Linked DNA regions of Lonchura striata. The main gene of each other region encodes a partner of the protein of the gene in region 2 in a complex. Links are inferred from orthologs where the notes say so. Each region holds a gene or a part of one and is shown on either strand. Other genes may lie near its edges. The genes, in order: PAG1 and CSK.

What was found.
Region 1: the proteins of CSK (region 2) and PAG1 are in contact, whole or in part, in an NMR structure (PDB 2RSY), measured with the Rattus norvegicus proteins. The link is inferred for Lonchura striata from reciprocal best matches to the Homo sapiens genes CSK and PAG1. Residues at the interface, in NP_001025210.1 of Rattus norvegicus: Thr88, Arg89, Glu93, Arg107, Ser109, Thr110, Asn111, Tyr112, Thr117, Cys122, Glu123, Lys125, Val126, Glu127, His128, Tyr129, Arg130, Ile140, Asp141, Tyr156, Asp161, Gly162; in NP_071589.1 of Rattus norvegicus: Phe291, Ser292, Leu294, Tyr296, Lys297, Ser298, Arg299, Glu300, Glu301, Leu305, Ile310, Met313, Tyr314, Ser315, Ser316, Val317, Asn318, Lys319.

Annotation. Positions count from the first base shown.
Region 1 is NC_134603.1:29,035,416-29,039,313, reverse strand, and holds the start of PAG1 (phosphoprotein associated with glycosphingolipid-enriched microdomains 1), read right to left. Parts: upstream 2,994-3,898; 5' UTR 2,815-2,993; intron 1-2,814. UniProt on the Homo sapiens protein: Negatively regulates TCR (T-cell antigen receptor)-mediated signaling in T-cells and FCER1 (high affinity immunoglobulin epsilon receptor)-mediated signaling in mast cells.
Region 2 is NC_134613.1:5,943,235-5,947,132, forward strand, and holds the start of CSK (tyrosine-protein kinase CSK), read right to left. Parts: upstream 2,686-3,898; 5' UTR 2,607-2,685; intron 1-2,606. UniProt on the Homo sapiens protein: Non-receptor tyrosine-protein kinase that plays an important role in the regulation of cell growth, differentiation, migration and immune response.

The DNA.
Region 1 (3,898 bases), on a different chromosome or scaffold from region 2:
CTCAACTATCTGCAGTAAATTGGCAGCCAAATCAGGATTCAGCTTTCTCATCTGTGTTGCAGCTCTCACAGGTCCTCCATGAGCTCATATGACTGCATAGTGATTTCAAAATTTAGAGTTTACTTCTCATAATATTGCACAAATGAGTATACACTGCTCACCTTTCCATGTTTCACTCCATGAAAGCAGTATCTAATCATATAAAAATTTACAAATGGACCATTTTCCCATGGAAGAAACTTGAGTTTCTTCCCTCACTGGAATTCTTTTGGCATTATTATACACAGTATAAGGCAGTAGCAGCACTGATGGCATCCCTGCAATGCTGGGATGGGCAGCAAGCAGCCAGGGCAGCCTGCCTGTGAGCTACAGCTGTGCAACCTGGGCCTCATTCAGCACCTCTCCCCTGCTGGCTCCATGCAGGGCTGGGCCAGCAGTTGCCACACATCCAGCAAACCCTCGAATATGGGAGGGAGCCAGTCCCCATCTCAGCTTAGCAGCCTGGGGATAAGGGTGAGTGGCAGCCCTCTGCACCCCTTCAGCCTGCCTGGGCTCCCTCCCAGCCCCAGCACAACCACCACACTACAGGACACCTGCCCCTCCCCACTGCCACTCCAGGGCTGAGCTACCCTCGCATCCTCTGCCTGAAACCCGCCCCATTCTCGAGACCCGGAAGCAGAGGCATTGCTGTAGGGGCATGGGTAATGTTATTTGAATGATTTATTGTTTTAATTGACACATGGTTTTGAGTCTTCTTGGTCTATTGATTTTATTCTTGCATTATATTTTAGAGTTACAAACTATACGGGTTTGGAACTACTTTGAAAAAGCCCCTCAATTCTCTAGCCCTATCCTTACTGGAAGCAAAATAACTGTCCTGTTCCAGCCATTGAACTCTATAGCACTTCACCATGGGCATCAATGAGCTGATAAACTCATTTAATTCCTTTATATGTCAATTAAGTTGCTAGTGCACCAGGAAAGAGGGTTCCTTAAACTAAATGCCACTACATGTCCAGCAAGAAAAACTTGATAGCTTTTCTTGTGGACTCCTCAGTGCTCTCTAAAATATAAATTACCTCTCAGATCATCCTTATTTAGGACTTGGAATCCAGTCGTCACTTTCTGATCAATATAACTTTAATAGTAGAATAAATTCAGAACTTAAGTTATCTAGTAGTAGTAATTTGTACACAATACATGATCCAAAGCCACTTTCAAATGCCTGGCAATGAGGCTTATGAGGAGCACTGTATCTTAAAACACAATGCATTACCAGTTTCTTTTCCTCATAAAATAACACCTCATAAAAGGAACCAAACAAAAGATGGGTGAGTTTGATGACTGTCATATCCCACAACCTTTACTCAAATGAGCAATGTGTTGCCTCTTGGAAGTTGCAGGTCCCATTTGCTGACCTGAATATTAATTTTATGTTAATAAAAATCTGTGTTGAAAAACTGGTTAAATATAGAATTGCTCTGGTATTTCAGGTTTGCATGGTGTTACACATGCTGTACTATTTTCTTTTTCAATGAGTGCAGAAGATACTCACCCCTTACAGGAGATGCCCCACAGACTGCAGAAGCTGGCCTTTGATAAAAAAGCTAAGGACTGAATTAATCACTTTTCCAATTAGAGGAGGCACTTTTGCAATAATGAAGCTGTGCAGCTGAAAAAATTTTAAAGATGTAAAATAAAACCCCCTGGAATTTGAAATATCTTGTTCTGTATTGCCTAAGAGAAACAAATGCAATAACAATGTACTTCCATTTACCTACTGGGTATCTTTAGCAGTGTTTGCTTCTACAAATTCTCTTAACAGATGCTGCTCCAATCATCATTTATTTGCAACACAGACAGACTTTGAGAGGACTAAGGAGGATTTACCTCTGGTTTCACACAGCGCGCTTGTGTTTTTGAAGTTGAATTTCATAAAATGAGAACTCTGGATAAAAGTTAATCAAGCACAGCTGCTAGGCTTCCTAGGCTGCTAGGAAGGGGAGAAATATTTTCTACCGAGATTTTTTCCTTCACTCTTTCTCTGTCTCACTCTTTTTCTGCATTTATTGCTTAATGGCTTAGTATTATTTCAAAGGCCGTTCCTTTCACAGATGTAATAAATTCGTGTATTCAGCACCACAGACGATATGTTACTCTCCTTAAAACTAAATCTCTGAAGGATAGACTAGAAAGAAAGGTTAAAGAGCTCTATCGTTCAAAGCGCTATAGTTCAGACACCTATAAATCACAATGTTTGTTTATTTAGCTAATTGGCCCATTAGCTGCCGTCGCATCTCAAGCTGCACAACTTTCAGGCGTGACCGTGGGTCAGTTTCTCCTTTCCCTCTCCGGAGCACCGAGAGCCGAGAGCTGCGCGCAGCACACCGGGCACACGACGCGTTAGGGACAATCTGCGCTGGCAGCTCTGTTCGAGGAGCAGACCCCGCTCGCCCCAGCGACCCCGTCCTCCTAAAGACTTTCCAAGCCCAAGAGCAGATGCCACAGCGAAACAAAGTGGAGCCTGTCACTGCGTAATAGGATTGCAATGGAAATAGGGTTACGGGGCTGGCTCGTGGCAGCGGGGAGGCGCGGTAACCCCGCGCCGCGGAGATGCGCACGGCTGACCCGGCCGGGGCCGTGCCCGCACCTGTGCCCGCTCCTGCCGCTGCCGCCGCCCGCAGCAGCGCCCGCAGCGCGGACCGCGGCCGGGCAGGGGCAGCCCTGCGGCGGCCCCGCCGCCGGCCCCCGCGGCGACTGCACCAGCACCCCCGGACACAGACACGGCAACTTCGCGCACCGCCCCCAACTCACCGGGAGGCGCCGGCCCCGCGGAGCGGTGCGTCCCTGGATGCCGCCTCCCGCGGAGCGCAGCCCGCAGGGGCCGGGCAGCGGCGCGGCCAGGGAGCGAGGGAGGAGAGCCAACTTGCGGCGCGTCTCTCGTCTCTCTTCTCTCCTTTTCTCTCCCTACCCGCCTCCTCCTCCTCCTCCTCCCCCTCTCTCCCTCCCCCTCCTCCGCCCGGCGGGAGGGTCGGGGGAGGCGGCGGAGGGGCCGGAGCGCGGCCGCGGAGCGCAGCGCGGGCACTGCGCATGTCCCCGCGCCGGCAGCCGCCAGCGGAGCCGGGATGCGGCGGCGGCGCGGCCGGCAGCGAGCGCAGCGCGGGCGCGGGCGCAGCGCGGCCCGGCGCGCCCCTGCGGAGGCTGCGGGGCACGGCTGCCGCCGCAGCGCCTCGCTCCGCCGCAGCGCCTCGCTCCGCTGCCCGCCTTGCGGCACTGCCGCGGCCCCTGGGGGGCTTGGCCGCCCCCGAGCAGCGGAGAGCAGCTGCCGCCGGGCCGGCGCTGCGGCGGCGGATGCTGGGGCCGCCGCCCCGGTTGCTGCACAGGGGACTGCGCGGCTGGAGGATGCTCCGGTGGCCGGCCTGAAAAGGAGGAAAAAGGGACGAATTTAAGCATCCTGGTCTTGGGTTTTTTTTTCTCCTCGTTAAGTGTACGTGACTAAAGAAGACAGGTATTTTGACAAAAGGAACCTCTGCATAGTTACTGGTGGCTTTTTAATGTTGTTCCAAGGTCTTCAAGCAAAAGAAATAATCGTATTTTTACATGATGTAGGGAAACGCTACGACTGCAAGTGAAAAGCACTGTAACAGCAAAGGCAGGAAAGGCTGCAAAAGCAAAATACCGAACTGAGATCTCTGGGGATTTTTTTAGGGAAATTGCACAATTACTACGAGTTTCCACCCATATGTAAGGACTGACTTAACACCCAGTGAGCTCTTTCTTCCTGATAATAAGTTCAAACCCCATATGCCATTCTGCAGTAGCAGCGCTGTCAGATGCATGGCTGGCTCAAGGTTTGAGCCTGGGTCTGCACTTGATGTTTTCCAAGCAAGGATTTGCC
Region 2 (3,898 bases):
CTAAAGAGGAAACTTCCTGAGCAAACCCCACCAAGAACACGCTCCAGCCAGCCCAGGCTTTTTTATCTTCCCGGATCGTGGGTATTCATGGCACAGGACCGTGGCATTGTTATAATTACACACAATAAATCTGCCTTTCAGCTTTAAAGAGGGAGGTTGTTCCAACACCAGAGCCCAACACAGGCCTTCCTCTTCCGAGCTTCGTTTTCTTTTTAATCGTTACCTAATTTCTGCCTCAAAGCCGAGACTTTCCGAGGAAGAGGAGGAGGAGGAGGAGGAGGAGGAGGAGGAGGAAACCACACGGGGCAGCTGCCAAGCAGCCCCCCAAAGGCCTCGTGTGCCAGGCAGCAGTTCCTGCCCCGCGCCACCCGGCCAGCCCTGCGCATCCCCTGGGATGCTGGGCTGGGAGAAGGACGTGGAGATGCTGCCAGAGTGGATCCAGGGCTTCAAAGCAGCATCCTGAGCCTGCTGGGAAAACGCGGGCATCGCCCCTTCTCTCCTCCAGGAGGATGTGTGGCAGCACGTGAAAGAAATTAATAATAATTTTAAAAATTAGCCAGGGAGCAGCCGGGCGGATTGGGCAGAGCCGGGTGCTGGGTTTGGCTGCTCCCAGCCCTGCCAGGCCAGGGTTTGCTCCTTCTGCAAGCTCCCCGCTCCCAAACTGGGGCTCAGGATGTGCTCAAAACCAAAACCCAGCTCCCCTGCTTGCCCAGCGGAGCATCCTCCGTGCAGGAGCCCCAGCGGGGATCTCACCCCCAGGTCCATCCCATGCCTCCCCCAAGGCCCTGCTCCCAAATTTCCCGTGGGAAGGCTGGCCCAGCAGCCAAGAGCTGGGCAAGGTGGGCAGGTACGGCCAACACCTCTGAGAATCCAAAGGGCACCAGGAAATGAGCTGGGCACAGCGTTCCTCTCAGGAATCAAAATAAAATCCAGTCGTGCCAGAGCCACGGGCGGGCTGGGAGAGGAATTTGGGACCTCCACGGGAGCACCATCACCACGGGGTGGGCAGATGCTGCATCTGGGTTTCAAACCCAAGCAGGGGAAGGGGGCAGCACCTGCCCAGCGCCAGGATGACTCTGTTGAAATGAAGTTTGGCTGTTGATGGCACAAAAGGCTCATTCCCAATGGGAACAGGTGTGTGGGCACCACCCACACCCACCCCTTCCGTGCACCCACCTCCCGGTGAAGTCCTCTAAACTTCAAAAAACAACCCAAAAAAAAAAATCCCAAACCGACCCCAAAGCAGACAACATCCTCCCTGCCTCTGAAAGATGTTATCTGCTGTTATTACAACGAACACCTACGATTACACTAATCGAAAGAAAAATGTTCCTCCTTCATCTCGCTCGTCAGCACGCAGCGTTTCGGAACTGCTCCCCCAAACCAGCCCCTGCCGGGCGCCCTGCTGCAAAAAAGGGGGGAAGGAGCTTCTTTTTCAGGGGTTTTTAAAATGCTTTCAGAAGGGAAAGAGAGGATGCTGCTGGTGGCACCCGGGGGACAGGTGGAGGCCTGGAGAGAAGCTGCTCCCAGCCCCACGCTGCAAAGAGGATTTCCTGGTTCTCCTTCACCCTGCAAAAACCTCAGCAGGGCGACTTTCCACCAAAAATCACCCCAGTGTCCCCTTCCCAGGGGCTGCCACCTGGGGACGGGGACAGGGCGCGGAGTGGGGCACAGGAAGGTTTTTTTGGCAAATACTCGCTCAAAACCGAAAAGCTGGGGGCAGGCAGTGGTGAAAGGGCAAAGAAGCACCCCAAAAGTCCCTGGCTTTGCAGGGGTTGCCCCACGGCTCCATCGCTCCCACGCCGCTGGTGCTCCACGAGGGAAGATGGGGACGCTCCCAAAACCTCCCGCATCCCTCCGGGGACGCTCCCAAAACCTCCCGCATCCCTCCGGGGACGCTCCCAAAACCTCCCGCATCCCTCCGGGGACGCTCCGGACACTCCCTGCCTCGCCAGGATGGGGCCCTGCTCCTGCGTGGCTCAGTGGGAACAAACCCCTGTCCCGGGAGGAAGGCTGCCATCCTCCTCCTCCTCCTCCTCCCGCTCCCCAGCCCTCGCACCTCCGATTTGCCTTTTTTTTTTTTTTTTCCCCGACTTTCCGATTTTTCGGGGGACTTTTTTTTTTTTTTTTTCCGCCCGATGGCACAACCCCTTTCGCTCTCGCTAAAGCAACGAGCAACAGCCGCGGCTATAAATAACCCGCCGACGCCTTAGTGCCCAGAAAAAAAAAAACCCAAAAAAACCCCAAAAAACCCAAAAACCCAACAAACAACAACAACAACAACAAAAGCCCCAAATTTTCAAACACTCAAAGCAACAAGGCGCCGCCAAGCCCTGCGAGCAGCCGGGCGCCCGGGATGCTCCCGCGGGCCTTTGTACGGGATGGGGATGCAGCGGCAGCGGAGCCGGTACCCCCGGCGGGGCTCGGGCCGGCCGCGGCATCCCCCGGGCTGCGGCGGGGGGCGCTCCCCGCCCTCCCGGCAGGACGGGACGGGGCTCGGGGGTCCCCGGGGACCGCGGCGGGGCGGAGCGGCCGCGCGGGGTCACCGGGGGTCAGCGGGGCCGGACCGCGCCCCCCGCCCCATTGTCCGCGCCCGCGCCACTCACCTGGCCGGGGGCAGGGGCGCGGCCGCCGCCGCTGCTCCATGCGGCGCCGCCGGGGCCTCCGGGCTCGGCTGGGCCGGCGGGGGGGCGCGGGGGGGCGGAAGGGGCGGGGGAAGCCGGAGCCGCCGCCGCCGCCGGAGCGCGGCGGGGCCCAGCGCGGCGCGGGGGGCGCGGGGCGGGCGCGGGGGGCGCGGCGGGGCCGGGGCCGGAGGGGCCGGAGGGGCCGGAGGGGCCGGAGGGACGGAGCGAGGCGCGGAGGCTCCGAGGCACCGAGGGAGCGGCGCCCGGAACCGGAGCGCCCCGAGCGCAGCGCGCATGCGCCGCCAGCACCGCGCCGGCGGCGGGGCGGGGGCACCGGGAGGGGCGCGGCGCCACCTGGCGGCCACCGCCGGCAGCGCCACGGAGCGGGGACAGGGACAGCGGGACGGGGGAGAGAGGGACAGACGGACAGAGGGACAGGGGGACAGGGGGAAAGGGGGACAGAGGGAAAGGGGGAAAGGGGGAAAGGGGGAAAGGGGGACAGAGGGACAGGGGGACAGAGAGAGGGGACAGAGGGACAGCGGGACGGGGGAGAGGGACAGAGAGAGGGGATAGAGGGACAGCGGGACGGGGGAGAGAGGGACAGACGGACAGAGGGACAGGGGGACAGAGGGACAGGGGGACAGAGGGAAAGGGGGAAAGGGGGACAGAGAGAGGGGACAGAGGGACAGAGGGACATGGGGAAAGGGGGACAGAGGGACAGAGGGACAGGGGGACAGGACGGGGGGACAGAGAGAGGGGACAGAGGGACAGGGGGACAAGGGGACAGAGGGACAGGGGGACAGAGGGACAGAGGGACAGGGGGACAGAGGGACAGGAGGAGAGGGGGACAGAGAGAGGGGACAGAGGGACAGAGAGAGCGGACAGGGGACAGAGGGACAGGGGGACAGGGACAGGGGGACAGAGGGACAGGGGGACAGAGGGACAGAGAGAGTGGACAGGGGGACAGAGGGACAGAGGGACAGGGGGACAGAGGGACAGAGGGACAGAGGGACAGAGGGAGAGGACAGAGGCATAGAGGGGCAGGGGGACAGAGGGACAGAGAGAGGGGACAGAGGGACAGAGGGATAGAGGGGCAGGGGGACAGAGGGTCAGAGGGACAGGGGGACAGAGGGACAGAGAGAGGGGACAGAGGGACAGTGGTTCAGTGGGACAAGGGGACAGAGGGACAGTGGTTCAGTGGGACAAGGGGACAGAGAGAGGGGACAGAGGGACAGAGAGAGGGGACAGAGGGACAGGGGTACAGTGGGACAAGG